4 linked regions of the Drosophila melanogaster genome follow. The protein of the gene in region 2 interacts with the protein of the main gene of each other region in a pairwise test. Each region holds a gene or a part of one and is shown on either strand. Other genes may lie near its edges. The genes, in order: CG1161, CG34208, CG13887 and CG9825.

Region 1 (7,938 bases), on a different chromosome or scaffold from region 2:
CGGGTCTCCCCGTCATTGTTTTTAGCATAGCTCAATAAAGCAACTGATATTATCGACTGTATTATGGCATCTGAAAGATGCGGCAGCAACCTAAACATTCCCCTCGGAAGCATTATGCACATACCTATATATTTACAAATTGTGTACTGGTATACTGGCAATAAAAATGTATTTATATGTCTTCAAATTTATAATTCTTTATTATTAATTTATATGATCAAATGTTATGATAAAAAACTTCGTTGGGTTCCCAAAAACAACAATCCGGAACATGTGCGTTTTTCCCACCAATATGAATAAAAGCAGAAGTTTTAGCAAAAGAACCTTATTCCGCTTAAAAAGCTATGGAGAATCGTGTTCGAAGGGAGAGAAGGGAGATATTGGATTTGTAGATTGACCAGGATAATTTCCAAACGTCATTTACATTTATTGCTCTCGATTCTTATACTTTAATGACCATTGAACGGCTTAAAATGAAGTAAAGCAAATGGTCATTATATATTAACTAAACATATATTTAGTTTCAAGGAGTAGTAAATACCGTAGAAGCAACGGGTATACATGAGTCTTAATCCTAATTGAGTGAAAAGTTCTTTAATTTCTTATCTTTCTTCTCCTTGATTTGTATTATCAACGAGGATTATAAAGACAAAAGTAAAAAAACAAATTCAGTATAGGCAGCGTGGTGTTAACTGTTTTACATTACTTTTAACATCAACATCTAATAAAATGTTAAAAAGTTCACAATTAAACTTCAAATTAATTTAATTTAACACATGTAAAACGGTGTGACCAAGCTAATAGTGGATTCATCTTTGGTATGTCTGGTATTTTTAGCTACCGGTTGCCGATACTGGTATTGCCGCCCGCCTAAAGTCTGTTCACACTGCGCTGACTCTTGATTTTATTTGTGCCCGTCATTCTCCGGCAGCGACAAACATTTCAAAGTCTCGCGTTATTCCAGTCTCCGAATAAATTAGCATGTTGAACAACTACAACAGCCTAGCGCAGCCCATGTGGCAGAACGGACCCGCTCCCGGCGAGTTCTACAACTTCACGGGCGGACAGACGCCGGTCCAGCAGCTACCGCGGGAGCTGACCACAATGGGACCCTATGGAACCAAGCACAGCACGTAGGAACTGCGGATATGTTTATATGCAGATGTACCACTTGTTTACACTCCTTTTACTATTCCGCAGTGCTTCCAGCACCACGGGCACTTCCGTGCTTGGCATTCGCTATGATTCAGGAGTGATGCTGGCCGCCGACACCCTGGTGTCTTACGGATCCATGGCCCGCTACCAAAACATTGAGCGCGTCTTTAAGGTCAACAAGAACATCCTGCTCGGCGGGAGCGGCGACTTCGCTGACATCCAGTCCATCAAGCGCAACATCGACCAGAAGATGATCGAGGACCAGTGCTGCGACGACAACATCGAGATGAAGCCCAAGTCCTTGGCCAGTTGGATGACCCGTGTGCTCTACAACCGTCGTTCGCGGATGAACCCCCTCTACATTGACGTGGTTGTCGGCGGCGTGGACAACGAGGGGACTCCGTACCTGGCCAACGTGGATCTCCGTGGACGATCCTACGAGGACTACGTGGTGGCCACTGGTTTTGCCCGCCATTTGGCCGTTCCGCTGGTCCGTGAGAAGAAGCCCAAGGACAGGGACTTTACCGCCGTAGAAGCTTCCGAACTGGTAAGGAATTTCGAACTCTGATGGGGGGACTCTTCATTATTTAACTACCCTACCATTTTCTTATATTCTAGATCCGCACATGCATGGAGGTGCTTTACTACCGCGATACTCGTAATATTTCCCAATACACTGTGGGCGTGTGCAGCGTCAACGGATGCGGCGTGGAGGGGCCCTTCCAAGTTAACGAAAACTGGACATTCGCCGAAACCATAAAGGGATACTAGAGCCTCCGATTCTGAATGAACTTAGTTTAGGTCTAGCTCGGCGGTTTTGCATTAAAAAAAAACACTTGTCTAAGGATATGTGGTTACATGATTTATTAAAAATAAATGTGGCTGAAAATAATACGTTTAAAGTTATGGTTATTGTGTGATAGAAACTATCTTCGAGTTATTCTTTCGTTAATCTCTACTGATGGAATCAAAAAGTAGGCGTCAAACTAAGAAGCCCAAGGGAGTTTCCAAATCTAACTTGGACTCACCATTACGGTCTTACGTTCCTTATTTTCCCAAATTATAACCATCAATTATCATTAAAAGTTTTATTTTAGTGGATTTGTTGGTTATTCCTCCCGGCATTCAACTTATTAATTAATATGCAAACACTCCTGACAAACATATTTTGGTTTATTTTAATTAACATAAAATCTGGCTAAATATACAGATAATCAATTTGATCCAAAGGGGAATTTCGCAAAGGATAACTGCTTGGAATACGTGTCTTAAGTCGCCCATGCGCCTCCTAATCTCCGCCAGCTGCAAACCGAACCCCTTGTTAGTTTAGCATGGTATGCCTGTCGTAGATGTGGCGTCTCTGCTCGCGCACCTGCCGCTTCCACTTGTCCTGCTGGTGGCCCACACGATTGAGGACATTGGCTCTGGCACTGAGCTCCTGGTTGTTGACGGCTGGCAGGGGCGGCGTTGGTTCATCCTGGTTAGAAAAGGGTGGAAAAATGTGGAATTAGTCGAGGTGATCCAAGATCTGGCCGTGTTAGTTACTGTCTTAATGAAGTGACGGTGTGGGTTAGAAAGTCAACAAAATCTATAACGCAAAATGAAACAAAGGTGGTTGTGGAAATTAAAATCTATTCAAAAGAGTGGTGCTTCTTTATTGCCAACTAGTTGAGCCGCTTCGGCATCAACATCGTCATCTTCATCATCTTCGCCTTGGGCTGTAACTAGGAGGCTATACTGAATGCCCTTGTATCTAGAAAGCTTGTTATGTACATCTTCGTTGGTGTGCTCCTGGTAGTTCGCCTTCACTCGCTTGTTCAGCAACGGGTCCAGGCACATCAGGAAGAGCATGTATATTACTAAAATGGAGATGATCCAAATCACAATAATGACCACGACCTGGATGGGGGAGAGAGCTGGTTAAGTACGGACGGCTTTTGAGCACTCGAATTGACTCACCTTTATCAGCGTCGTATTTCTCGCCACATGGGAGCACTTGCACTCGGCGCATATGGGCAGCTCCTTGCCATTGGCATCCAAACGGGGCAGCAGGGCACCGGCACAGACGCTGAAATGGTAACGTGTAGCAGGTTGTTAAGAACTCCAACCTAACAGAATCACAAATTAAGCTCATTGATACCAAGATGCCTTATACATTTAGTAGCTGAAAAGTGAATACATTTGTGCAATACATGAACTATGATTCTTTGAAGCCTACGCAAACAACGTAAATTGAATTTAAAGTAGTAGAATCCAGTGGGACGAAAGGGATTGCAGCTTTAAAACTGCTCAAATGGACTAGACTTTAAGTTTCCAGATGCGGCAATTTCTGCCAGTGCAGTGCCACTTACCACTCAGTTGTGCTGCTGGAATTGGAAGAATTTTTGCCTGGAGCAGCGAGCACAGGCTGGCCGATGACCTTGGCCGGAGGGGCGGCAGTGGGAGCTGAAACTTGCTTGGCTAGTGGAGCTGCAGCCGCTGGAGCTGCAGGTGCAGGCACAGGAGCAGGTTGAGCATTGCTGTTGTTGTTGCTGTTGGTGCCGATCGCTGGGAATGTCTGCGCCGCAGTCTCAGCCTTTGTTGATTGTTTGAGGGGGAAATGAAAGCGGATTAGTGGGGCAGTCACGGGATGTGGCCAGTCATCATACCCATGTCACGCCAACCAAATAACATATCACCAGTAGCACCGCGTAGACGAACAGGCGCTTGTGTGCCATTAATTTTTCTTTAATTTCAATTTTCCTCAGTTTTCTTGCCTTTTATTGGAGAAAATTCCCTTGCAATTTCGCAGAGTGACCGTACTTGTCTGGTGCACAGAAAATACCAACAAATTGTCGCTCATCGAACTAGTTCCTTTTGGTGCAATTAGTTTTTAGGCTAATTATTAATAACTAATTATTTCCTTCACGATATAACGTTCATTTAATTCTAAAACAATCAAGAAATAAGTTTCTAGGCGTATCAATAAATCTGTGACGTCAAATTCGTAATCTGCTCTCTGAAAAGACTAATTATATTTTTCCTTTATTCAACATTTATTATATACATTAAGCTATTTTCCGTTAATGGAATAAGTTACAGCAATATGGAGTTTGTTATAGTATTATGTTTATTTTTTTCGGTGAGTCCATAATTTGGATTTTACCGCAGCCTGGTCACACCAGCACCGTCAAAAATAGCAATTGTTTGCGTGTGCAACGCTGATTTCAACCGTAATTGCCGGTACAGATTGACTGACTTAGGTCCACGGACTAGGATACGATAACTAGAACAGGACACGATGCAGCACATACTACTTCTTACAGGACTGGCGCTGGTAGGCAGCATTTCCAGGGGAGCCGGTAAGTGGCGACCTGAAACAAAGTCGCGTCTATGTGGTCTTCTCTGATTGGCCGCCCCTCTTTCTGAACCTTCCGTGGCCATAGTTAATGCTTATCTTATATTCTATCTTGACCCTGCTGAACACAGCCACCGAATCCAACGTGGTCACCTGCGGCTCCATCCTGAAGCTGCTCAACTCGGACTACGCCTTCCGCCTGCACTCCCACGACGTCAAGTACGGATCTGGTTCCGGGCAGCAGTCGGTGACGGGCGTGGAGCAGAAGGAGGACGTGAACAGCCACTGGGTGATCAAGGCGCAGACCGGCGAGCTTTGTGAAAGGGGCGAGCCCATCGCCTGCGGATCCACCGTGCGACTGGAGCACCTGTCCACCAAGAAGAACCTGCACTCGCACCACTTTTCGTCGCCGCTCTCAGGCGAGCAGGAGGTGTCCGCGTACGGAACGGATGGACTCGGCGACACCGGCGACCACTGGGAGGTGGTCTGCTCCAACGAGAACTGGATGCGCAGTGCCCACGTTAGGCTGCGCCACATCGACACCGGCATGTACCTGGGCATGTCCGGCCGCTCCTATGGCAGACCCATCTCCGGCCAAATGGAAATCGTTGGCGTCCACAAGCCGCAGCACGGAACGCGCTGGACCACGGCGGAGGGCCTCTTTATCGTGCCCAAGGAGAAGAGCTCAACGCACGACGAGTACGCCCACTCGGAGCTGTAGTGCTCCCTAAGGACCTCGACTGCTGCAGTTTCATACTACTATTAGTTCTGTAATTTATAACTTAGTTGAATTTTTATTGAAGACCCCAAAAGCAAACCATCAAATTAAAATTATTTAAACTCAGGGTACTTCGAAACTTTCAGATTGCTTTCATCGAAAGTTATGTATTCTATGTATGTATTATGTATTCTATCTAGAAAGTGCCTTGCATAAAGGCAGTCGTAAGAACCACTTAGCTTAAATGCATTGCAACAAATGGGGGCGTCTATAGAGCCCTTTTTAAGGTAGTGAAACCTCAGTTGCAATCTAACTTTTCTAAATTTTTCTAGAACTTTGATTGATTGTCTACTTAGTCAGTTGCAGGCACACAAATGCTTTTTTATTTTTATGTAACCTTTTATATTTTAAACGGGTATTTTGAGGCAATAGTACTCTTTCTGTTGGCATTACTGCAGTTAATACAGATGTATCTATTCCATGTAGTGCTGAAAGACATGCGTAGGTTACCAGGTGCTAATAGCGTGTTCGTGTCACTTTTCTACTACTCATTGATGATTAAGACTGATTGCATTTGGCGGAAAATGTCGATATCTTTGAACTCCAACAGAAGGTATCCCATGCCGGATTGACAGCCCTTTAGCTTGAAGCTAAAGCGGGAAGTATCCTTGCAGATGCAGCCGTAGGGCGTCACTCGCATTTCGCGAAAGGTGCTCCCCATTCCTTCGGATGTTTTTGTTTGCATGCATAAAACAATGGGGCTTATTCCGACCATACAAGCTATGTATATACATTTTGCCATTGCTCGCGGTTTCCGCTCCCTTGCTGCCCCGATATCGTCACGTCCATTATCTGCTCGTCTGTTTTGTGTTTCTTTTGTTTGGGCCATTGTCAACGCTTTGTCTGCTCATCCTCCGGGCCATGTCCTCATCCTCCGCTGCCTCCGCCTCCTTCGCATCCCCGTAATCCCAACTGATTGTGGACCCAGTAAGGTCAAAGTGTTAGCTGATCTAACCCAGCGCACAGTCGTTTATAGATTCTCATAATCGGGTTGTCCTTGTAACCATTTTGCACAAATAAGAAATGGAAACAAGGATACTCGTTCTACTAGTCTGATGAGCGATGTTGTCCCCAGCAGGAAATCTTAGCAAGATCCACCATCTGAAGATAACCCTCAACTCCGTAATTTCATGCTTTACGATGCAAATACTGGAAGTATCAAGCTTTGAATCTTGTGTCAACTATTCCTGATTGGAAATTCTGTACAGCAATTATTATAGACTTTCAATAAATTGTCATAAATAGTATATGGAATATGGATAGCACATAGCTGTCCACGATGTCATATTACCAGAACATAGTATCGGAGAGTATAAAACACTTTAGTTGTCGATTACCATCTGAGCATGTTAAACTTTGTATAGTGAACCAAATGTTTTTCCACGGCTTAGTATAAAAGTCTTCTTCATTTTGCTTATATTGCTACAGAAATGAACGTCTTAACATTATATATAATCCTTTAAAATTGATCAATTATCGCATAATTTAATGCAATATAGTGGGCTTATGTGTTTAATGAAATCGGCAATGCTGCCACCTGCTGTGGCAACATACCATTTAATATCACGTCAATTATCCCTTACAGGTGTTGATAACTTCCGTTCTGCGCGTTTATTGATTTACCCTTAACGTGTTAACGCCAAACTCACTCATACGCACACCCATACATACATATGTATAAGGATGTGTTCCTGCTCGCAGGACTTTCCCTCCCCGACAACCGGATTCCATTGTTAAGCGGTGGCCCATCCTTGTATTCATCGTATCCTTGTATTGTGCTTCCTATGTGACCAATAATAAAGAGAATATTTTGGAGCGAAGCTACACTATTAAAAATTTTCATTAGACTTAGTGTAGAAAACTGTATAGATCGGGATAGATATAGCGAAATAAGCTCATAAGCCAACTAATCAAGTATTTCCTAATCCAATTGCGAAACTATTCGGCATTTAATACTGAAAATAAAACTCAAATCTCTTTCTCTGCACGCATAAATGCCCAAGTGTTTTAGCAATCCTACGATAATATATATTATACATATAAAAGGGAAACGTTTTCCCTTATCGATTTGTCTTAATCGACAGCGGGCAAAGTTTAAAGCGCTTAAAAGTGGGAAAGGACTCGTTGCTTGAGTGACTGACAGATTGACACAAAATGTTTGAATGTTGCGATGTTTGTTTGTTTGCGAGTGTGACGCCTGCCCCTCTGCCGCACAATTCCAAACGAAAAGTACGTTGTGTATACGCACGAGTGGCTGGAAAGCGTAAGCAAAACGCCCTGCATACTAACCGGCGCACCCTGACCTACGTCGTGGCGAAATATCTCAAAGTTACTTGGAGTACGATTAGAAAGCTATCCACATGTTTTAATTTTCGAAAATAGAGTAGGTTTAACTAGAAGCTTTCAAGACACTTAGTCACTGACTAATATATGATAATAGTATAAACAAACGTACAAACGTTCTATGTTAATTGATACAAAACTTTTTTCTTTTCTACAAAATTATAAATACATATAGTAATATAAGTATATTATAGAAAATATGAATCAAAACAATATCAATTGTTATCCCCTTTTATTAGTTCTTAAATGTTTAAACTCATAGATCGTCTTCAGCAAGCATACAACAATTTGCTCTGATTGCAACTATAGGATATTAGTTGATTGA
Region 2 (6,661 bases):
GAAATCTCGAAAACTCCACACTCCCGTTATCTGCCGTCTGTGTCCTGTCTTCAATGTGCTGCCTGCCTGCCTGCCCATGAAAATCAAAAATACATGCACATCCAAACCCATTCACAACATGATATATGCCCCCGTGAACCCACAACACCCACTCACCACCCACCCACACACACACACACGCATATGACCTATGCAAAAATTCGCAAATCGAAATTGCCATGTTTGTTGTGTAGAGCGACTCTGGGTCAGGGCATCCGTTCCGGTTGCGGCGTAGTGCCTCTAACGGGACCCGGCGGACTGCAGCACTATGCCACAACAGATCGCCGCTCGAGCGGCAACCTCAGGGTAAGTACTTAATACTAATAACATAGCTAGTTATAGCCAATTATGTCTTGAATACAATAATCGTCTGTGCCAGTCGACAAACAACTATTGCTGTATATCCCTAGCCTGAATTGACGTGAAGCTTTTGTTGTCGCTCGGTGTTTGTGTCATAAATTATTTAAATCCCTGAGAGGTGGCTTCAGCAAGTGTTCTCATATCACTGGGAGCATGTTTTCACAGGCTTTCATCCAAATTGAAAATTCAATTTATGATAGGTTGCCTTTGCAGGCTGTATTGACTATAATTTACACTCCAAGGTGCCAACAAGTATGTGATAAATTCTGAGTTGAGATAAAGGACATTCAAGGATGTTACAATATTTAAGCGAAAATTCATTGGCTATCCAAAATACATCGTTGTTAGCTTTTGGTCAGCTTAAAACGAATAAGTTCGTAAGGATATGTTAAATATTGAAACTCAAATATCTACTCATCACAATTAAATAATGAATATGCCTTTAACATAGCAAATATGACATGTATTAGATAACCTTAGCATGGATATAATTACTGATTTGGAAAATATTTATAGTTCCTAAGGCACCTAAGAACAGGAAAAGTTTCATGACAGTTCCGAAGTGTTCCCGTTGTCGGCAAAAGTTTAGGATTTGAAACAAGTGTTCTTGTGCAAATTAAAACTATTAACATTTATTTCTTTTCATTTATTTTACTAAACAGATTTCGGCATGGAAAGGATCTCAGGTGAGTTGGCATTTCATTCACTCAAGGAGCACATTTCAATATTTGTATTTCCGTTTGCAGAGCTCCCTGTCTAAAGCCTTTCGGTTTAACAGCAAACCACATCGCACCGGGGACCGCAGCTCCTTTGGGAACTCCACCTCCCCAACGCCTTCGTACAGCAGCAGCGAGGGTGGCGGAGGAATATACGCAACCATAGGGCACCAGTATCCGAATCCGCACACCAATCTCCAGCAGCAGCACTACCATCACTTCCTGCCGCCGCCTACGACGGCCCCACCGCCGATTCCCTCGGCTGGGGGCATCTATAGTCATGGTCCGCCGCCTGGTCATCGTGTGAGCGCTCCGCCAGTTGGTGGGGCACTGGATGCGGTGTCCACCGACCCACAAATGCTCTACGAGCAGAGTCGACGGCGCGTGAAGAGCATCAGCGATATTGGGGCTTCGACGAGTGCGGGCAGCGTGGGGGCCTGCAGTCTGGGCGGCATATCGGCCTCATCGGAGTCCCCTGAATAAGAGTGAAAAGCTAGCTAGATAGGATTACAACTACCACTACCAAAGATACTCAGCTGTACTCCCGCATGAAAATCCCTTTCACCCCCCCATAACCCATTTACCCTTTCAGCTGCATTTGAGCTTAGAATCTACAAGCAAACTCAATTATATTCAAGTCAGTGTCAGACCCACCTACAAGATACAAGCATTCAGCAGCTACAGATACATATGCGTCAAGTAATACAAGATAAGCGAGTAATCATTTGATCAAATCAGATAGAAATTCGAACTATATGCTAAACATAAATAACGACATAATTATATTGTGTAGACTAAGCCCCAATCGCAGGCAAGAGAAGTAAGGATCGAATCAACTCGAATCAATTCAAATCGAATCAAAAACTCCACCCCAACTCCAACAAACTGCATTAGTCTAATCAATCACATATATGTAATTCTAATTGTAATTGTAACTGTAAAGATAGCTCTAAACCGATTTAAAAGTGAGAGGCAGATTGCGTGACGGTAATATACTCACTGAATTACAAGCCGATTTGGGCACTGGAGATGCGATTGCAATTTAGATAAATTGAAATTATTTTGTAACCGAAACTATCGTAGCTAAGCAAATGGAAACGGAAACTATTGAATTAAATTTGATAAGCCGCAAGATGCGGCACTTTGTAAATTATGATAAGCCCTAAGCAACGTTCAATATCGCATGGTAATGGTAAAATCCGAAACAGAATCAAATATATGGTAAATACAAACGCACTCCCCAAAAAAAACCCTCGCACAACCAAAGAAAGTCAGTCAGCCTGCTTTATCCGCCAATCAATCAGTATCGAAGAATCCCCGAGAGCGTCAGGGTATCATTAAGCTGACCAATTTAACTGTAGACCTATGTCGAAGAAAACTATCGAATAAACCCATGATCAAAACTCTGTTGTAAACGAATGAGTCTTTATTGTGCACGGGAAGATGCCACTCGCTAGATGAGCAGCACCTCAACATATTGCATTTTCTCGACTCCAAAACATTTCACCTTCACCGTGAGTCGCTGTGCCTCCTGTGTCCTTTGTGGTTCGGTGCATCTTCGGGGAGATTTCGTGGGTTTTTCCATCTCCTCCAGCCGCTCGGATTGCTAGCGTCGATCGTTGTCGTTATCGTTTCGAGGACGTCGCGTTGTGTGCGGACGACCCTTGGGCTCCGGATTGGGTTCCGCTAGGGCTAAAGTGCCCAGACTGCCGATGAGTCCGAGGATGCCGAATACCAGGAACAAACTAAGCCACTTCATCTCGCGATCGCGATGTCGAGTTATTACCAGTTCAACACAAACTGCTGAACGATACGCCTGGAATCAAACGTTTTATGGCCTGGCGCCCAGAAGATCGGCGACGATCTGCATGCTAATGAGGGAAACTGCCGTCAACATCGTTTACCATTGCCAGTAGTTTATGTTCGCAGATCGGCCAGATAGCGCGGCAAATTGAGTTGTAAATCCAGCGCGAAAAATGGGCGGACATACATTTAGGTAATTAGCTCCATTGTAATGGGAACAATTGTTCCCATTACAATTGAATCGCAGTCACATCTTACTGTGGGACCCGTAATTAAAAACGAATGGGTTTTTGAACGATTGCGAATCGAAAATATATTTCTATCTATTTTTTGGGTAAGTATTTGAGAAATTTCGAGCTTCCCTACTTGTTCTTGAATACATTAGGTGCAATACCGAAGGCAAATTATTGCCATTTTTAGATCTAGGACAACCATATGCGATTGATTGGTACAAATTGATTACTTGGTAGAGTGACAAAACAATGCGAGTTTTCACGAAAGCAAACATTTGAATACACGGACAAATTGACTTCAAGAAACTATGCATACGATCGCCTCTGAAGGCTGGTAGTTACAATATAAAATAACCGAGCACTTATCAAAAGTGCATTCACGATGTTCCACTCATGTGGCAAACGAACTGCTAAAACTATAATTTACAAATATCACAATAAGTTGGCTTTTGGGAGGTCCAGTCAGAATCTCCATCTATCCGCGATGACCGGCGGACTCAGGCTCAAGTTTTGCTGGAAAACCTGGCAGAGCTCATTCATCTCCCGCTCCCTTTGCAACTCCTCGCGCACTTGATGCCACATGGACTCGAATCCATTGTCGTAGGATGCCATCGAGGCATCGCCCTCGCAGGAGCTGTCTTCAAAAATAAAGGAGTACTCCATCTGGTAGTCGCACATTTTCGGGTCTTCTTGTAGTTCAAAGCTGCAAGACAGAGAATTTCAAATTGTTAGCTATCGATTATGAAGTGCTGTCTTTTGGCGCCAGCTATCGATTCGGCGGGTTCTTATCAAACGAAAGACCAGTCCAGCTGATTTCATTTATATACAGAATGTCGCGGAAGAATGTCTTAGGTTTGATCAACACGATCGTGGCCAACTCGTAAGTAAAAATTGCGTTTTATAACTGATTTCAAGTGATTTAAATAAAGTATGGTCTTATAGCTGCAAGTGCCCCGCCCATTCGCATAACTATGGCTCAGCAGCTCCAACCGCCTCCCAAACGGGTCGCATGGAATACGCCTTCGAGGTAAGTGGCAAAACCTTGGACTTTGGAGCACCTCCAGATAGTAGATTCTCATCTTTAGACAGGTGGTCATACCCTGGACCAGATAATACTATCTCTATATTCTTAAGCATCCCAATAGAATTTATATTTTAGATCTTGTGAATACTTTTAACTTAAATTTTGTTCGGTATATAACAAATTCTAATTCAAATTTGGTCAAATGTATTGATAAACAGATGTCAGCCTCGACTGTTCGATTTGGACCGGGAGTAAGTGCCGAAGTGGGAGCCGATCTTCGCAACTTGGGAGCTCGGAAGGTTTGTTTGGTCACGGATAAAAATGTCGTGCAATTGCCCTCCGTGAAAGTGGCCTTGGATTCACTGGCTCGTAATGGCATCAACTACGAAGTCTATGATGAAACCCGGGTGGAGCCCACGGATGGGAGCATGTGGCATGCCGTGGAGTTTGCGCGCGGCAAGGAGTTCGATGCATTTCTGGCCATCGGAGGAGGATCTGCCATGGATACAGCCAAGGCAGCTAATCTTTTTAGCAGTGATGCAAATGCAGAGTTTTTGGATTATGTAAACTGCCCAATTGGCAGAGGCAAGGAGGTGAGGTCTCCTTTTTAGACTTAGTACCTTTAATACCACTTGAATTCCATTTAGATATCCGTAAAACTGAAGCCCCTGATTGCGATGCCCACCACTTCGGGAACAGGTTCCGAAACCACTGGAGTAGCTATATTTGATTACAAGAAGTTGCATGCCAAAACTGGGATTTCCAGCAAGTTCCTCAAACCTACTTTGGGTAAAAAACTGAACTTCTTTAAATAATTTATTCTAATATCGTTCTATCTAACTCTAGCTGTGATTGATCCTCTGCACACCCTATCCCAGCCGCAACGCGTGATGGCTTTCGCTGGCTTTGATGTGTTCTGCCATGCCCTGGAGAGTTTCACGGCGGTGGATTACAGGGAACGCGGTTTGGCGCCCAGTGATCCCAGCTTGAGACCCACCTACCAGGGCAGGAACCCAGTGTCGGATGTGTGGGCACGATTCGCATTGGAGACGATAAGGAAAAACTTTGTGAACGCCATTTACCAGCCCGATAACCTAGAAGCCCGATCCCAGATGCACCTGGCTTCCACAATGGCTGGCGTGGGATTTGGTAATGCCGGAGTGCACCTGTGTCATGGCCTTTCCTATCCTATTTCTGGAAATGTGAGGGATTACAAGCCAAAGGGCTACTCCGCGGATCACGCTCTTATTCCACACGGCCTATCCGTGGTGATCAGTGCTCCGGCGGTCTTTGAGTTCACTGCTCCAGCTTGTCCGGATCGGCATTTGGAGGCTGCCCAGTTGCTGGGCGCAGAAGTGCGAGGTGTCGAAAAAGCAGACGCCGGTCGTCTTTTGGCGGACACTGTACGCGGTTTTATGCAACGCGCGGGCATAGAAAATGGCCTCCGAGAGCTGGGATTCTCCAGCAGCGATATACCCGCCTTGGTGGAGGGAACCCTGCCCCAGGAAAGGATCACTAAGCTAGCACCCAGGGCGCAGACGCAGGAAAACCTGTCGCAACTCTTTGAGAAGTCCATGGAGGTCTATTAATTTGGAGCCAAAACTTACCCACGCTCAACTTGTTCTCTTGAAGAAAAAAAAATGTTAAACTAACGGATCTTCGTTTAAGATCTGACCATACTTGAGCTTTCAAAATTCTATTTTTTTTAAGCGTATAAAAAGCTTAGAGTGAACCATTTAATTTTGGTTGGACTTGTGTATATACGAAAAATACCATTAAAAACCCTATACAGAATCACAGGAAATTTGATGCCCTGCTTGATTTTTGTTTACTTTATGTTCTTTGTCGCAATGGATCTTATGTACATTCAGCATTATTTTGTGGCCTCTTTTTTGGTCTGCACTTCGTTTGAGAATCCTCTACTCAGTTTGCTTTCCTAAGCTGCAGGAAGAAGACCGACGCTGGGACCAAAAATACTATGATATAAGATATTAATATTAATATAATATCATACAAATCATACATGATATCATATCATTAAAACAAAAAAAAAAGGATTAAATCCTACAAATTAGTTGCTCCAAAAAAAGCTTGTAATTTTTGTAATTATAATATATTTTAGACTGAAACATGTTTGAGTACTCCTTCATGTTCGAATCCTCCGGATGTGAGGGTAAATTTCTAGGGATGCCCTACGACGGGGAATTCGAGGCAATGTGGCAGCAGATCGGCAATGAACTCCGTTCCAGACATAATCGCTTCCTGGGAATGCCGTTCGATAGTGGATTTGAACGGATGTGGCGGCAGGTCAGAGAGGAACTGAAACGGGATCGGGAAGATAACGAATTGGCACTCTGTTTCCAGCGGAATTTGAGCACCTACGTAAAGGAGGAAGGGGATGTCGGTCAACTTGAGTCTTTTATTGAACGCAGATAAAATATATTCAATTTTATTGAAAGGCATGTTATTGTTTAAAGTACGTATGC
Region 3 (8,104 bases), on a different chromosome or scaffold from region 2:
GCGACATCTCTAATCAGTCATGGAATTGTCAGTGTTGTAAAACCTGAAATGTCATTGCATCTTTGCTTCTTCAAAACAGCTGACAGCTAAAAACAAATATTTCGTGATTTTTGTAAATATTGCTAACGTTTTAATATGGAGGAGCAAGAGGATCGAGAAAAGCTCTACGAAGAAGCCCACAAGAAAGTAAAACTGGGCGAGGAGCTGAAGAAAGCGCTGAAAGACTTCGAAGATTTGCCTGGTGTCAGCAAAGTACAGCGAAAAATTCAGCAAGAGCTCAAATTTCTAAATAAGGTTTGTTTGCCTATTTTTCATGATAAAAACATTGAGTAAAAGCATTTTCCTTCAAGGTGATTACTACAAGGTCCGTAAAGGAACACCACATAACCAGCAGTAACTTTGTTTACTACGATTTTCTCATTAAAACTCTGCGTTTGCAACAAGGAGTAGTCGACATCAATGCCGTATTCCGCCTGGAGTCTAGGGATAGTCCCCTGAGAGTCGACATCGTGGCCAACAATGGACTCAAGTGGGTGAAGGTGATAGCCAGGAACTCGAAGTCCGTCGAGGACGCGGCCAGGGGATGTGTCAGCATCGGAGCCCGAAGTGTCATCGACCAGGCGGAGGATTATCTGGAGGCCAGCGAACTTAGTTTCTGCATGTTCCAGAGGCCGAAGGTAATGCCTAATAGTATGCTACCCTAGACAGCATTCATCATCTGATATACTGCCTTTTAGATAGTATTCTACTTCTCCAACAAAATCGAGGACTCCCTGCATGAAGAGCTAATGGAAATGGGCGTACAAACTGCTTCCCTGGACTCACCAGACACCGACTTGGATATGTACGCCACGACGTCGAACGAACTGAATCTAGATGTGACCACATTGCTGGCCTACGTTAGTGCGCTCACCAACGGATCCGCCAATTGGGTCTACAAGGAACCTCTGCTCACCGAACAGGCGGAAAGGGAAAGAGCCTCGCCGCTAAAACCGCTCCTCGAGAAAATCCTAGAGGGAAAAACCTTGGTCTGCTGCCAGTTAGCCTACGATGCCTTCCAGAGTATTTTGGATATTGTAGGCGGCGAGGGCGAACGGAAGCGAGCCGAGGAACTGATGAAACGGGTCACCGTTTATCCGGATGTGGAAACAATACCCGAAGAATTCTCCCACATACGTTTCACTGCCAACGTAAACGAGCGAAGTCTGAAAATCTTTAGTTTCGGCATGGCCAGGCAAATTTTCACTGTGACTTCGAATAAGGCCTTTGTGAGATCAGCTAAGATGCAGGTATGCATGAATGGAAAATGTGATTTTGTCCTGTCTTTAATGTCTGTGCTTTACAGGGTATCAATGTGCCTGTTTTTGTACACGCTTCAGTTGCACTTACCGAAGGTAAGCAGGCAACAGGAAGACCGCTTTAAAAACCAATAAGCGTTAAGGCTATTCAAATAAATTTTATGTGATTTTTTTTCAAAAACTGCTCTACACAAAGTTGTTATAATTATTAAATAAAGATCCTTCAAATTTGAATTCGATTGGTTTTTAAAAATTCGAAACGATACATACGACTCTTATCGATTGTTGTCATGACAGAGCTGCCACACCTCGCGCATAAAACATATGTAAACAAAAGTGAAATTTTGGAAACTGCGTTCTTGCAAAAAAATAGACGACATTTTGCTTGCATAAAACAGGCAATATTGCAATTGGGAATATAATTATTAAAATTTAGGTGCCTGGCAATTTCAACGTTACAAGAGCAATCATATAATTTCAAATCAGGACGGGAAAACAGTCAAAAACATGGACTGCGCACCACTGAACTTGGTAAGAACCCGAAGAAAACATCGAATTTACATGGTTTTAAATGGAATTACCTACCCAAATCAAAGGCTCATTTCCACGAGCGAAGGTCGGAGCGATTTATACGCAATCACCGCTATGAGGAGGCCATTAAAGCGCTGGAAACATCCCTAATCTACATGCAGGATGCCCAAAAACGGGTGGCTCTGCCCAAATCCAAGGAAGTTCTGGACACATTGACCCTCGATTTTCAGCGCAAACTGCGTCAAATTGAGATGCGAAAGACGCAGCATGGTCTGAACAAGCTGAAGGATTATGCTCCCTTGAAGGAAACCAGTCCCATGCTGCCCCTGCGACCAGAAGCCGGAGCAAGTGGAGGCGCAGGAGGATCCGCTCAGTCGGTGGCCAAGGCAATCGACAAAACAGTGCAGGACTTCGATGCCAAGTTCACCTCCTCCTTGGTGGCAAAGGCCTCTAGCACACTGGCCCATTCGGAGCCCCATATGGAGACGCTGAAGAAGAGCGATTCTGCCCAGGAGGAGCAGGAACACGATACTTGCGATCAGCGGCTGGCGGGCAGTGGAGACCTGGACCTGCCATCCTTGGCGCCCTTGGAGTTGCCCTCCTTCGATTACAGCCTGTTCACCAGCTCCTCGGCTCCTTCGTTGGCCAGCTATGCCGGCATGGCTGAGAGCTTCCAGAAATAGGCCTGGTTAAGATCCATTTGTAAAACTTCAACTAATTTGAAAGATCTCGTGGTAATGCAGTGCCCGCTGAGTGGTGATTAGGATTTAATTTTAGGCACGTTCTTCATTTCAACGTTTTGTGCAGTTCCCTTTGTGAAGTGTATTTGGGAATTCTCTAAATAAATTAAATTAGGTTAATTCACAATAATAATAATAATAATAATACTTTGTGTATTACAATCTAAGTCGTTTATTTGGCCATCAGACCCTTCAGCAGATCATCCATGTCGGTTTCGGTGTCGACATTCTTGAGCAGAAGCAGCACCTGTGCCTCCATCTCGCAGAGGATATCTGGTTTCTGGTAGGTAATGATCAGCGTGTTGAACTGGTGGTGGACAGAGAGGCTCTCCTGCGCGGGCTTGACCCCACAGCGGTCCAGTTCCGGGACCGGGATGACCTTGTAGTACTTCTTGTTCGAGGTGCGCACGACTATGGCACGCTTCTCGGGATCGGCGGTTACGCTGTATGTGTCCAGGGAGTAGGGCATGTTGCGGATGCGCCACTCAATGTTCTTCTTGGTGATCCGCTTGGTCAGCAGTGGCGCGGTGTTGCTCTCCCGCAGGGTGAAATCTCCGCCGGCCAGGGAGTCCGTTTCCTCGCCAGATCCTGGTGGCTTGTTGCCCGACCAGTTTAACTGACGCGGCTCATCGCCCAGCTCGATTTCCCACTCCGACTCGCCCATGATCTTGTTGCTCTTCGATTTCCAGGCCCGCCGCTGCACGATTCCCGTGTCCATGTTGTACTCCTCGGCCATTTGCCTGCCGTCCGGGAATTTGTAGAGCACCTTGCGGGCGCGGCCACTTATCATGGAGTTCTTCTCCGCCGCCTGCAGGTAGTTTAGCCAGTTCTGGTAGGACATCTCTGGGGATTGATGGGATTACCTAGGCACACGTCTCCGCCGGAGATTCGAATATAACAACTGAACGGGGCAGAAAATTTGATCGATGGCGCAAAGTTGAAAATTTGTTGAGAAGCACATTGCGATGGAAACCTGGCAACCCAGCTGCCAGCTTGTTTACATCGCAAGCCGGGTTACCAAGGCACTTTAAAGCATTACATACAATACCTTATGATCGATTTGTCTTGTAATATTTGGAGGTAATGGTTAATTTTAATGCAAAATACGTACTAATTCTTGCCATTTTTTTTACTTACTAATAAAATGATTTTGAAATTCGAATATTTTCCATGAATTCAGCTTTTTTCTGGCTACCCAATTTACAGTTGATTCCAGCGCGCGAGTTGGCAGCCCCGTGCGTACACAAAAAAACAGAGTTGACGTGGCCGGCGCAGTGACTACATAAAATATACGCATATTTCATCACGGCAGCGATTTAATTATTGCTATTTAAAGTAAGCAGCCAGTCACTCCGGCCGTAGTTTATAAATAGCCACTAGACCGTCCGTCCCGAATCCGTAGACTTAGCAGCTAATTTGGACGCATTTCTGCTTACAGGCGGCAGTCGAAAAAAGCGAAAATCCAAGAAGCGAAAATCGAACGAAAAAGGGAATTAATAAAACATTAAAAATGAGTTTGGTGTGGACTTTGATCGCCGGATTTCTCTATGCGGAAATCGCACTGGTCCTTCTGCTGGTGCTGCCGGTGCTCACTCCTTACCGCTGGAACCGGTTCTTCAAGTCCAAATTCCTATCGATGTTGGGACAACAGGCGCACATATATTTCCTGCTGATCATGGGAATTCTGGTCATTTTCCTCCTGGAGGCCATTCGCGAGATGCGCAAGTACTCCGGCTTGCAGCAGTCTAACGAGGTCCACTTGAACGTGGAGATGCAGCACAGCATGAAGCTGTTCCGTGCCCAGCGGAACTTCTACATCTCTGGATTCGCCATTTTCCTTGCCCTGGTCATCCGGCGACTGGTAAACTTGATCTGCACCCAGGCCAATCTCATGGCCCAGAGCGAGGCTTCCTTCAAGCAGGCACAGAGCGCCACTGCAGCCGCACGTTCCTTGCTGGAGAACAAGAACACCGAGAAGGCCAAGGAAGCCGGCGAGGATACCACTCTCATCGAGGTGAGTCCACGTCCCAAACCCCTGCATCCGATCCCCAGGAATGGCATGTCTAGAGAGCTAACACCTAAGACTTTGGAGTTCAATTGGCTACTACCAGCTGTAAAGATATGGCAATGCATATAGAAGGTGTGGTCAAAATATGGCGAGATAATGTCTTTAGCCGACTAAATCTATAAAATCTATACTTCATTCCACTTTCTGGTACATTTTCTCAATTGGTTTTGAATATAAGATACGAAAAGGCTTTAAATGTAGTCTATTAACGATATAGAACTTTAAATACCAGTATATATCATGATTAAAATCTTAAACGTAAACTTAAATCAGTTTGAAGACCGAGTGAATTTGTCATAGGCTTAGTGCTTTTGTTTTGACCGCAGCTAAACGTTTTGAAACCACACCCAAACACATATGTTGGGCCACGATAAACAGAAGCCACCACTCGAAAGTTTAAACCTCTTGTTAACTCTTTAAACAGCTGTCAAGACTGCGGAGACGTGTGCAAGGACTCACCGCCCGAGTGTCCTAAGTATCCCCACCTAGAGCACCCACCTTATATCCATTCCCAAACACCCAAAACGAACAAAAATCCAATCGAAACTCAAACGAAATCCGAATTTTGCAGCTCAACAAGCTGCGCGAGCGCGTCCAGGAGCTAACCTCCGACTTGAATCGCGAAAAGAAGGACAAGGAGGCGGTTAAGTCGCAGGCGGAGAGCATCAACCGCGAGTACGACCGACTCACCGAGGAGTACAGCAAGCTGCAGAAGAAGATAACCATCGGCGGAGGCGGAAACAAGGATGATTAAACTCACTGGAGCCAAGTCCAACATTTAAATAACGATAAGACTTATAAGCATGGCGGTGGGGCAGCGAAAGCAGGCACATTTAAAAGATTATAACGATTTCAAATCGATAGAAAGCACACACATCTTATTGTTAATCCTCATAGATACAACTACATATACCATTTGATAATGATAATGGGGTATATTGATAATGGTCCCTCAACTCAATGTTCGTTTCGTCCGAAGTTTTGTATTTAATTCGTATGTGTTAAGTTTTGTTTGCCACAGTAACACACCCAAAAAGCGTCGTGGCTATTAAAAGAACAACCAAAAAGTACCCATCCAGTTGTGATCGATTCGATGATTCATCTGTTGGCGCGGATAGTCCACATCATGTCTGATAGTACACGGCAATGACGTCAGACGTCGCAACCTGTTTGCATACTTGGAGCTTAGAAATCGGAGGCGTTACATTATCGGTGTGCGAAAAGGGCATCGAATATGTTTCCTTGATAATTACCCAGAAATGCTAATCAAATTCGCATATTTAGTGATCTATCGTGGTTTTGCAGTGCATACTTTAATCTTAACTTGAACAGAGATCATCCTACATAAATTTGCTGTTCAATAAACTGCATTAAAATGCTTACTCCCACCAGAAGCTTACAGAGAAGCTAGGAGCTTCAGATCTCACATAGTGCCACCATTTGGGTGGCATGTACAAACAGTCACCAGGTTGCAGGAGCAGCTGGTAGAACTTCACCTTGGCTACCAAGGGATATGTTTCAGGATCCAGTTGAGCAGCATCTATTCGCGCTGTATTGGCCAAAAACTCACTGTCGTGGGGATACAGATTGTCTGTGTCTGCAGGAGCAGCTAGGATGATCCTCTTCGAACCGAATACCTGGCACAGCAAGTTGTGCTTGGGATCGTAGTGCATGGGAGATACGGTTCCAGCTGGTCCCAGCCAGGCTTTGATGTCCACAGCTCCTGGGGTATCTTCGTTGCTGATGGTGCAGTAGTCGGGAATGGATATATCCTCTTTGAGGGCTGGTATCTGGGCGAAGAGCTCGTGCTGAGCGAGATACTCGATATTTTGGCCAGCCTTGCTTGGTTCCTTTCCGAATTGTCTGCTCAGGAAGTCGCGGATCTTCACCAGCTGCTGGGACCATTCATCGCTGGCATAGTTGGAACCTATTTCAATGGGCACCGTGCGATTCCCGGCCACTTGGAGAAGGTAATTGAGATCCAGCCATTTGTGCAGTGCAGGCCAATGCTGGATGGTGTTGAGCAGGAGTGTGGGTTGTCCTGCCTCAAAGCACTTTGTCTGGAACTCTTCTAGACTGGGAGCGTCCAGTTGGGGTATATCACAGTTGGAGGTTACTCGGGTTAATGGCTCTAGAGTTGGAAGTGGTGCGGAATTCAGTGCTACTGCTCCATCCTTGTCGAGATAATCCATTAGGGCGACTTTCAGTTCACTCCAATCCTCCATGCAACCCAAAAGTTGAGCCTCATCGAGGATCTCACTGCACGCATCCTTCTGGGCGGGACTAGTGCTCTCCAAGAGAAGGAAAAAAATCTAAAATGTATATTTGTAGTTTGTATGGCTTAGTTAGCATCTAAATCCCACCTTGAAGCAACAGGCTATGGCGTATATCTTCCTCGTGACCAAGGGAACCTGGCTGAAGTGCCCTGTGTGAATGCGTTCCCAGTTCCTGTCCACCAGCGCACCTACCAGATATCCGGTTTCCTCCGCCCCGGAATCTCCGCCAGACCTCAAGTTCGCCAGGTGATCCGCGGCTCTTTTGAGTATGTAGCGCGCCTCGACTTCACCACGGACCACATTTTCCAGATCCACCCAGCGGGGCAGCAGCTGCGTCAGCTCCAGGAACTCACTATCCATAGAATGTTAAACAACTATTATTTGTTTACCTTTTAGCTTACATTCAGCGTTGCCAGAGTTCATTTGTAAGCATTAAATATTTCGATTAATCGATGTTTTAAAATATATTTAAAAATTGATGAGTTGTTCAGTACTTCAAACATGTATTGCTTAAGGATGCCTTTAGTAAATTATAAATAGTAGCTCCGTGGGTCCTTCCATGGTGAAGATACATTTTGCACTGGCACGAAATGGAAAAACGATTTCCATGGGCGGAGTTATGACCGCCGTTTTGGACGCCGAATGGCATTGTGTGCCCCAAGTGCCACTAATTACGGGTTTTAGACTAAGCTGCAGCTTGTAAACAACAATCATGAGACAAGAACCCGGATAGTGGAATTGCTGACGGTCAGAGCTGAGGAGCATGTCGAGGACTTCGGATGACATCCGGAAGCACCTGAAAGTGCGGCGCCAGAAGCAGAGGGCCATTTTGGCCATGAGATGGCGCTGTGCCCAGGGAGGATTGGAGTTCGAGCAGCTGGACACCTTCTACGGAGCCATCAGGCCATGTAAGACCACTTTTCCAAACCACTTTCATATGTGTCTAAACATATTACAATGGACAATAGATCTGTGTGTGGCGCAGTTCTTCGGCATTATGCCTTTGTCGAATATCCGGAGTCGCGATCCCCAGGATGTGAAGTTCAAGGTAAGGAGCATTGGCCTGGCAGTCACCGGTCTCTTCCTTTTGCTCGGTGGCATGAAGACCTTGGTCGGTGCCAATATTCTCTTCACAGAGGGTCTGAATGCCAAGAATATCGGTGAGTTTTAGATGGTATGGTAGTGTGATCC
Region 4 (8,007 bases), 500 kb from region 2:
TGGAAGTCCTCATTGTGCTCCAGCGAAGATTCGATGTACTTGCACTCGGCCTCGCCAACAAATCGGGACTCAGTGGCATTGTTGGAGGCGAATATTAGCCAGAGGAAACACCAGGCGGCGCAGAGGGATCCAGACACATAGGATATGCCCGGCCAGCCCATTGCTCCCTTGGCAATCATGCCACTTATGAACATGGCCAACACAGTGCCGCAATCCGTGCCTGTGTAGCTGAAGGCGCCCAGGCGGTTCCGCTCCTCTGGGGGCGACCACATAGCCAGATGCTCTGTGACGCAGGGAAAGATCACGCCCTGGAACAAGCCCTGCAGAATGCGGATGGCGCAAAACACCTGCCATCCACCCCAGGTGATGCACCACGGGGTCATCAGACTGAGCACAGCAGTGCCACAACTGGCCACAAAGAGGACCACCTTGGCGCCGTAGCGACGACACAGGAAGCTGCCAGGAAACAGGGTCAGGATGTAGCCCCAGTAGAAACTGGAGAGTATGTACGACTTTTGTTTCTCCGTCCATTCGAACTCCTGCGAGGGAAAGCGGCCACGTCAGCTATTTCCAACCGCAAGGAATATCACTTAAAACTCACCGGAAAATTGGGATTCGTGGTGGCCGCGTTAGTCATGGCCACAATGGCCACACTGACATTCAGCCGGGCAATGTGCATCACGGTCAGGCCGAGAAAGAGCAGGAACGACTGCAGATGTCGCACGCCCAGACGAGGGCCCTTGCAAGGTTTATGGGTCATGATCGGCAAGTAAGTCCAGGAAGCAACTCCACTTGGAACACTTTTTGGTTTAGTTACCGAGGTCTGCACTGTTAGATTGGGGCAATGGTTCTAAGCCCAGCCGCCATTGTATTGCCGACATTTATACGACAGCGGAAAGCTTTGAAAGCTTGGGCCAACACGCTCGGCGATATCATTCACCCACATAGTTGATTGGCCCGCGGACTCGCAGGTGAGTCCCCAGGGAGATGGTTCAGCGACAAACAAGATCGGCGATCGGAGACACTTTGACGCAACTCCTCGTTCCAGAAGCCGACTGACTGACGTAGCGGATCTATTGTAGTACGATCCGCTGGTGGATTGAGAAAGCATATGCATATGTTTCTACGTATTATCGGCAAATATTGATGGATTTACACAAAGTGGTGGCTAGAAAATAAGCACACCCACCCAACACTCAACTTTGGCCAGAGACGTGTTTATTTGCCCGAAAGATTTATGGCACGATTATCAACAAAAGTTTTTGCTCGCCAGGCCTGAAGCCGTAGAAAAATTAAATCCGATCCCCTGAAAGCTTAATACAACTGTGCTCAGCACCAGCAACCGAAAGAGCCGCCATAAATGAATGAGTTTATTTATTTTTTGGCATAGTATTCTTTATGGCCGCAATCTGGTCGAAACAATGGAACGCAACTGATAAGCGATGCTACCAGTTAAATAAATAATCAACTAATCGATACTGTACCGAGCCACACGGCCAAAGTATTTATAATGTTTATAATGTCAATTTATTGAACTTTATGAATTTAAAGAAAACTCTAATCTCAGCCAATTCCTCGCCTGGCCATTACAATCTCGAGTGATTCCCCTTGCTTGAGTGTGTTATGAGCCAAAGCTAAGTAGGCTCCATTTGAGATTACCAGCAGAGCTTTAGTTATCTGCTCAGGGATAACAGAGCTTTGAAAGGTTCTCACAAATCTTGGTGGAAGAAATTGGAAACTGGGTTTTCCTTCATTTCGAACGATGAGTCACTTACTAAAGTTATAGGTCGCGCCTTAAATTTTTGTTCCAAAGAAACCATAAAGGTGTGTACCATTTAGTGATACTGTGGGCATTGCCAATTTTTTTTATCACAAATCATATGGCGAGAAGTGCAATGACGAGATCGTTGTACGTAAGATAATATTTTTAGGTCTTCGCAAACGGCATCTTAAAAATGAACTGCAGAACTAAATGCTCTATAATTCAGTCTACTAGCGACGGTAACTAAGGGAATTTTAAACACAAGAATATGTCTATATTTTCGAGCAATCAAAACAATAATAGCTGACTAGCTCTTGAGACTGCGGACTTGTAATTAAAAATATTTAGTGATGTCGCCCTCAATGGCATTTTCAAAATATCAAGAATAACTCAATTTGAGTGTCAGTTATAGATAAAAGAATCGTTTGCTATCTCTCTACCAAGTTATGATTTTTAGACCACTAAAGTGAACAAATAAAAACCAAATGCTAAAATGTAAATTTGGTTATCCAGACTAGTCTAAAAAATAAATGCGTTAAATGGGTTAAGAATTAATGGCTTTTACTATTAATTTTCTCTTTGGAATTTTCGTTAATTGGAAAGGATAACGCCTGCATAGGTGGTCTATTGGCAAGTTCCGGGTTCTGTGTCTGCAGATAGTCCTCGGCATCCCAGGGCTGAGTTTCGGCCGTGCCAAACACCAAGTAAATGCAATTGCCCACAAAGAAGATTACGGAGGCAATGATGAACACGATCTGCCATTGGGAGCGATCAGACTGAAAGGAAAGGATACAATAAGCAATTAAAAATCTTTACTTCCTACCAACTTTTGCAAGCACTCACATTTTCCTTAACAATCCATCCAACAACTAAAGGAGTGACTATGGGCACGAAATTCGCCGCTGTATTCACAATTCCCATTAGAATGCTAGCGTGATTTTTCGATAGATCAATTGTGTTTAAAACACTGCCAATGGTTTGAGCACTATTCACGCCCACACTGATGGTCATCAGAGCAATCGCGAAGTTCTTTTGTTCCTTGTCCAAAAAGCCAATGCCCACCAAAGTGGCAGCAGGAATCCAGAAGGCAATGGAGTTGTAGGTCTTTCTCAAAATCGTCAAGGACACCGAGTTCTTGCCCAAGAGCACATCGGCTACGACTAGGTAAATATACGACATGCACCACATGGCCAAGAATGGGAGTGCCGAGAAGAACGCATTGCTCTTCATGTCCATGTCGAGGACTCCGTTCATATAGGATGGGATCTCGGCCTGCAGAGTGCTCAGTCCCCAGTTCTCAGCGCATCGTACTATGAGCAGGGCCAGGAATGGTGCCGACGTCCAAATTGCCTTCCAGGGAATGGGTATAATGGTAGCGTGGTATGACTCATTGTGCTTTAGAGACGACTCAATATAGATCAGTTCGTTCTCTCCTATGAAACGAGATTCCGTAGGATGGTTGGCAGCGAAGACGAACCATAATGTACACCAGAAGAAGGCCACTCCAGCCGAGACATATGAGATTCCGGGCCATCCCAGGGAGCTCTTGGCTATCATTCCGCTCAGGAACATGGCACTCACATTGCCGCACTCGATTCCAGTGTGACTCAGAGCTCCCAACCGATTTCTTTCCTCGGGCGGTGACCATTTAGCCAGGTGCTGATGAATGCAGGGGAATACCACTCCCTGGGCCAATCCCATTAGAACTCGAATTCCACAGTAGGCCTGCCATTCTCCAAATCCGATGAACAGCGGCGTCAAAGCACTGCAGACACCAGATCCGAAGACACCCCAAAACATTACACTCTTGACTCCAAAGCGCTTGCAGAGATAACCTCCAAGGAATTGCGTTAGGATGTAGCCCCAAAAGAAACTGGAGAGAATGTACGACTTCTCTGCCTCCGTCCAATCGTATTCCTAGTAGAGAATCTAGTAAGCTAAGTGGTATTTTCTTGATAGGATCCCTATTCTTACCGGAAAGTTCGGGTTCGTGGTTTCCGCATTGGTCATTGCCACCACAGACACGCCCACATTTAGGCGGCCTATGAATACGGTAGTTATATTGAGGAAGATCAGTAGCGCCTGGACATGCCTCATTCCCAGAACGGGTCCTGCAATAACAAAACGAACTGGTATTATCACTGTTACTTCCTGTCTACAAACAGTTGGGTAAATAAGTCTGAATTGCTCTTGAGACTCGGTTATCGCGCCATTATTGTAGTAATTTATGACCACTCAATGCGTGTGCGAAAAGCCCAGAAATCAGACGGAGTGCAAGGTCTGAGCCATGAAGGGGTTTTCCACTGTGTCAAGTTCGTTGGGTGTCAATTCATTCACAAACTCTTATCCGAACCGAAGGATTTCCTTTCACGCACCTTTGTTTGTCTCGGCCGTCATTTTTGATTTGGTCAACAAAACACCTCCTGACTTCTTTTAAACGACCGATCGGAATCACTGTGGGAAGTTAAGTGAGTGAGACCACGAACATAGAGTGGATTTAAATCCAAATTGAATTAGACGATAAGCCAAATGTTGCTTATCTGATACGACACGTCAGGTGATAAGGTCATACAGCGGGCGAATTTAACCATTGAATTAAAAAGCGTCATTAAAAAATTGTTGTACTTTACAAACTAGTTATTATGTCATTAGTCAGAATATTGTAAATCAATCAATAAATCATTATTTTCATCCATTTCTACAATTCTAGTAAGGATTCTGGCACGATTCGGTAAAAGATAGATGCCACATAAGCAACATGGCCTAAAATGTTAGCGCCAAAAAGAATGCATTGCTTTTTCATGGCCATATCGAGAACCCTTTTTCGAATAGGTGGGCATTTCGGCCTTCAGGTTACTTAGTCAAGAAAGAAGCCAAGGTTTTGCACCTTTAATAGTTAATTTTAGATATCTTGACGAAAATATCCTACCTGCAGTTCCTTTTCTACTGTTAAACGAGGTTGTTTAGAACAGCATTGCCTGGTCGTGTGGCGTTCCAAAATCAATTGGTAATATCAAGAGTAGTTACTGCCATACCATTATTGGATTGATTTATGGCCGCACCTTTGGTAAATTTGACGACTTTTGATAAGCAAATAACGCTCAAACATTTTAATTCAAACAAATCGTTTTACTTATACGTTTAATAAACAAATGAAATGTACTGATGTAGATCTTAAATCTTATTAAATTTAATAATAATACTCTAAATTATTTTGATTGCTTTGTTGTTTTAAATAGTTTCTATGTTAACTGAAGACTTAAGTGCTATCGATAGAACTTCAATTCAAGGACTTCGTGGAAGGTCATCAATACCTTTACCAGCTTCATGGATAGCTGGAACTTTAGCTAGCTCTGGCACCTTTACTGTGAGGTAGTCTTCAGCATCCCAGGGTTGTGAAACAGCCGTTCCAAAGTATAGGTACACCGAGTTTCCGACAAAAAAAAGTACTGCCGCAATTATGAACACTATCTGCCACTCAGCACGGTTATCCTGAAACAATCAACAGAAAGTCTTCTTATTTATACTTATTTATCACTGCCCTGTTTATAAACACTAACAGTGCAAACTTACGTCTTCATGAACAATAACTCCAACAATCAAAGGGGTTACTATAGGCACTACAGTAACAGCCGTATTCAAGATTCCCATTAGAATACTCGCATGATTCGGGGATAGATCTATGGTGTTCAAGGAGCTTCCGATTGTTGCTCCACTGTTGACACCGACACTGATGGTCATCAAAGCAATTGCCAGGTTCTTCTGCTCCTGATCCAGGAATCCGATTCCAATCAAAGTGGCACAAGGAATCCAGAAGGCCAACGAGTTGAAGGTCTTCCGGAGGGCCGTTAAACTCAGCCTGTTTCCGGCGAGCAGAACATCGGCGATTATCAGGTACACATACGACATAATCCACATGGCCAGAAATGGTAATGCCGAAAAGAATGCATTGCTTTTCATGTCCATATCCAGAACTCCGTTCATATAAGTTGGGATTTGGGCCTGGAGGGTGCTCAGACCCCAGGTCGCGCAACAACGCGTCAGCGTAAGAGCAAGAAATGGTGCCGAGGTCCAAATCGCCATCCATGGTACGGGAATTACGGTCTTGTGATAGTCCTCATTGTGCTTCAGAGACGATTCGATATAGTGGAGTTCTTCCTGGGTTATGTAACGAGATTCCACTGCATTGTCAGCGGCAAAAACGAACCAAATGGCACACCAGGCGAAGGCTAATCCTGCGGAGACATATGATATTCCTGGCCAACCAATGGCACTTTTGGCTATCATTCCGCTCAAGAACATGGCACTTACATTGCCGCACTCCATCCCAGTGTGACTAAGAGCTCCCAACCGATTTCGTTCCGCCGGAGGTGACCATTTGGCCAAATGGTGATGAATACAGGGAAAAACTAGTCCCTGTGCCAAGCCCATAACCACGCGAATTCCGCAGTAGGCCTGCCATCCGCCAAAACCGATGAAGAGCGGGGTCAATGCACTGCAGACACCAGATACAAAGACACCCCAAAACATTACACTCTTGACTCCAAAGCGCTTGCAGAGATAGCCACCTATAAATTGGGTCAAGATGTAGCCCCAAAAGAAACTGGAGAATATATACGACTTCTCTGCCTCCGTCCAATCGTATTCCTAGTAGAGAATCTAGTGAGCTAAGTAGTATTTTCTTTATAGGATCCCTATTCTTACCGGAAAGTTCGGGTTCGTGGTTTCCGCATTGGTCATTGCCACCACAGACACGCCCACATTTAGGCGGCCTATGAATACGGTAGTTATATTGAGGAAGATCAGTAGCGCCTGGACATGCCTCATTCCCAGAACGGGTCCTGCAATAACAAAACGAACTGGTATTAAAGCTGCTACTTTCTGCCTACATAGTACAGGTGGGAAAATAAATCTGAATTGCTCTTGAGACTCGGTTATCGCGCCATTATTGAAGTAATTTATGATGAGTTGAGTGCGCGTGCGGAAAGCCCGAAATTTTCAGATGGAGTGCAAGGTCTGATCCATGGAGGGGTTTTCAACTGTGTCAAGTTCGTGGGGTGTCATTTCATTCACAAACTCTTATCCGAATCGAAGGATTTCCTTTTACACACCTTTGTTTGTCTCGGCCGTCATTTTTGAATTGGTCAACAAAACACTTCTTCACTTCTTTAAAACGACCGATCGGAATAACTGTGGGAAGGTGAGTGAGTGAGCCCGCGAACTTAATATGAATTTAAATTCAAGTTGAATTAGCTGATAAGCCGAATTTGCCTTATCTAATACCACGTCAGGTGATTTTTTTTTTATTTGATTGTTTTAAATAGTTTCTATGTACACTGGAGACTTAAGTGCTATCGATCTAGTGGAACTTTAATATCATCGACTTCTGAGAAGGTCCATCAATGCCTTTACCAGCTTCATGGATAGCTGGAGCTATAGCTAGGTCTGGTACCTTTTCTGTGAGGTAGTCTTCAGCATCCCAGGGCTGTGAAACAGCCGTTCCATAATACAGGAACACACAGTTTCCGATAAAGAAAATTACTGCCGCAATTATAAACACTATCTGCCATTCTTCACGGTTTTTCTGAAGGAAAAATAGTATGACTACTTTATTATAAACATTAACAGTGCAAACTTACGTCTTCATGAACAATAAGTCCAACAGCCAGAGGGGTTACTATAGGCACTACATTCGCAGCCGTGTTCACAATACCCATAAGAATACTCGCATGATTCGGGGATAGATCTATGGTGTTCAAGGAGCTTCCGATTGTTGCTCCACTGTTGACACCGACACTGATGGTCATCAGAGCAATGGCCAGGTTCTTCTGTTCCTGATCCAGAAATCCGATTCCAATCAAAGTGGCACAAGGAATCCAGAAGGCCAACGAGTTGAAGATCTTTCTGAGAGCCGTTAAACTCAGCCTGTTTCCGGCGAGCAGAACATCAGCGATTATCAAATACACATACGACATAATCCACATGGCCAGAAATGGTAACGCCGAAAAGAATGCATTGCTTTTCATGTCCATGTCCAGAACCCCGTTCATATACGTTGGGATCTGGGCCTGGAGGGTGCTCAGACCCCAGGTTTCGCAGCAACGCGCCACCATGAGAGCAAAAAACGGTGCCGAGGTCCAAATCGCCATCCAGGGAACGGGAATTACGGTCTTGTGATAGTCCTCATTGTGCTTCAGAGACGATTCGATATAGTGGAGTTCTTCCTGGGTTATGTAACGAGATTC

Evidence for each region.
Region 1: the proteins of CG34208 (region 2) and CG1161 interact in a two-hybrid assay, tested with the Drosophila melanogaster proteins (one large-scale study listed by BioGRID).
Region 3: the proteins of CG34208 (region 2) and CG13887 interact in a two-hybrid assay, tested with the Drosophila melanogaster proteins (one large-scale study listed by BioGRID).
Region 4: the proteins of CG34208 (region 2) and CG9825 interact in a two-hybrid assay, tested with the Drosophila melanogaster proteins (one large-scale study listed by BioGRID).

The regions. Positions count from the first base shown.
Region 1 is NT_033777.3:5,351,119-5,359,056, reverse strand, and holds CG1161 (uncharacterized protein), read right to left. Parts: upstream 3,966-7,938; 5' UTR 3,873-3,965; coding exon 3,804-3,872; intron 3,731-3,803; coding exon 3,507-3,730; intron 3,224-3,506; coding exon 3,115-3,223; intron 3,055-3,114; coding exon 2,929-3,054; coding exon of another isoform or gene 2,791-2,928; exon of another isoform or gene 2,633-2,790; coding exon 2,477-2,632; 3' UTR 2,309-2,476; downstream 1-2,308. Other genes in the region: Prosbeta7 (proteasome beta7 subunit), read left to right, coding at 982-1,133, 1,201-1,702, 1,774-1,926; CG11999 (uncharacterized protein), read left to right, coding at 4,436-4,496, 4,624-5,213.
Region 2 is NT_033778.4:22,329,365-22,336,025, reverse strand, and holds CG34208 (uncharacterized protein), read right to left. Parts: upstream 2,901-6,661; 5' UTR 2,875-2,900; coding exon 2,722-2,874; 3' UTR 2,521-2,721; downstream 1-2,520. Other genes in the region: Liprin-gamma, read left to right, coding at 234-345, 1,062-1,085, 1,146-1,598; pgc (polar granule component), read right to left, coding at 3,614-3,829; T3dh (type III alcohol dehydrogenase), read left to right, coding at 3,982-4,031, 4,094-4,178, 4,394-4,768, 4,823-4,964, 5,022-5,764; CG34207 (uncharacterized protein), read left to right, coding at 6,306-6,611.
Region 3 is NT_037436.4:834,042-842,145, forward strand, and holds CG13887 (uncharacterized protein), read left to right. Parts: upstream 1-3,819; 5' UTR 3,820-4,079; coding exon 4,080-4,583; intron 4,584-5,061; coding exon of another isoform or gene 5,062-5,112; exon of another isoform or gene 5,113-5,208; coding exon 5,209-5,391; 3' UTR 5,392-5,890; downstream 5,891-8,104. Other genes in the region: CG42553 (uncharacterized protein), read left to right, coding at 136-294, 351-677, 738-1,289, 1,346-1,423; CG42554 (uncharacterized protein), read left to right, coding at 1,806-1,829, 1,895-2,512; CG13901 (uncharacterized protein), read right to left, coding at 2,742-3,410; JMJD5 (jumonji domain containing 5), read right to left, coding at 6,017-6,949, 7,001-7,273; Gr61a (gustatory receptor 61a), read left to right, coding at 7,677-7,821, 7,882-8,073.
Region 4 is NT_033778.4:22,833,588-22,841,594, reverse strand, and holds CG9825 (uncharacterized protein), read right to left. Parts: upstream 4,235-8,007; 5' UTR 4,160-4,234; coding exon 4,138-4,159; intron 3,874-4,137; coding exon 3,737-3,873; intron 3,680-3,736; coding exon 2,606-3,679; intron 2,539-2,605; coding exon 2,314-2,538; 3' UTR 2,304-2,313; downstream 1-2,303. Other genes in the region: CG9826 (uncharacterized protein), read right to left, coding at 1-539, 602-760; CG12490 (uncharacterized protein), read right to left, coding at 5,048-5,254, 5,336-6,409, 6,467-6,603, 6,874-6,895; CG30265 (uncharacterized protein), read right to left, coding at 7,122-7,346, 7,402-8,007.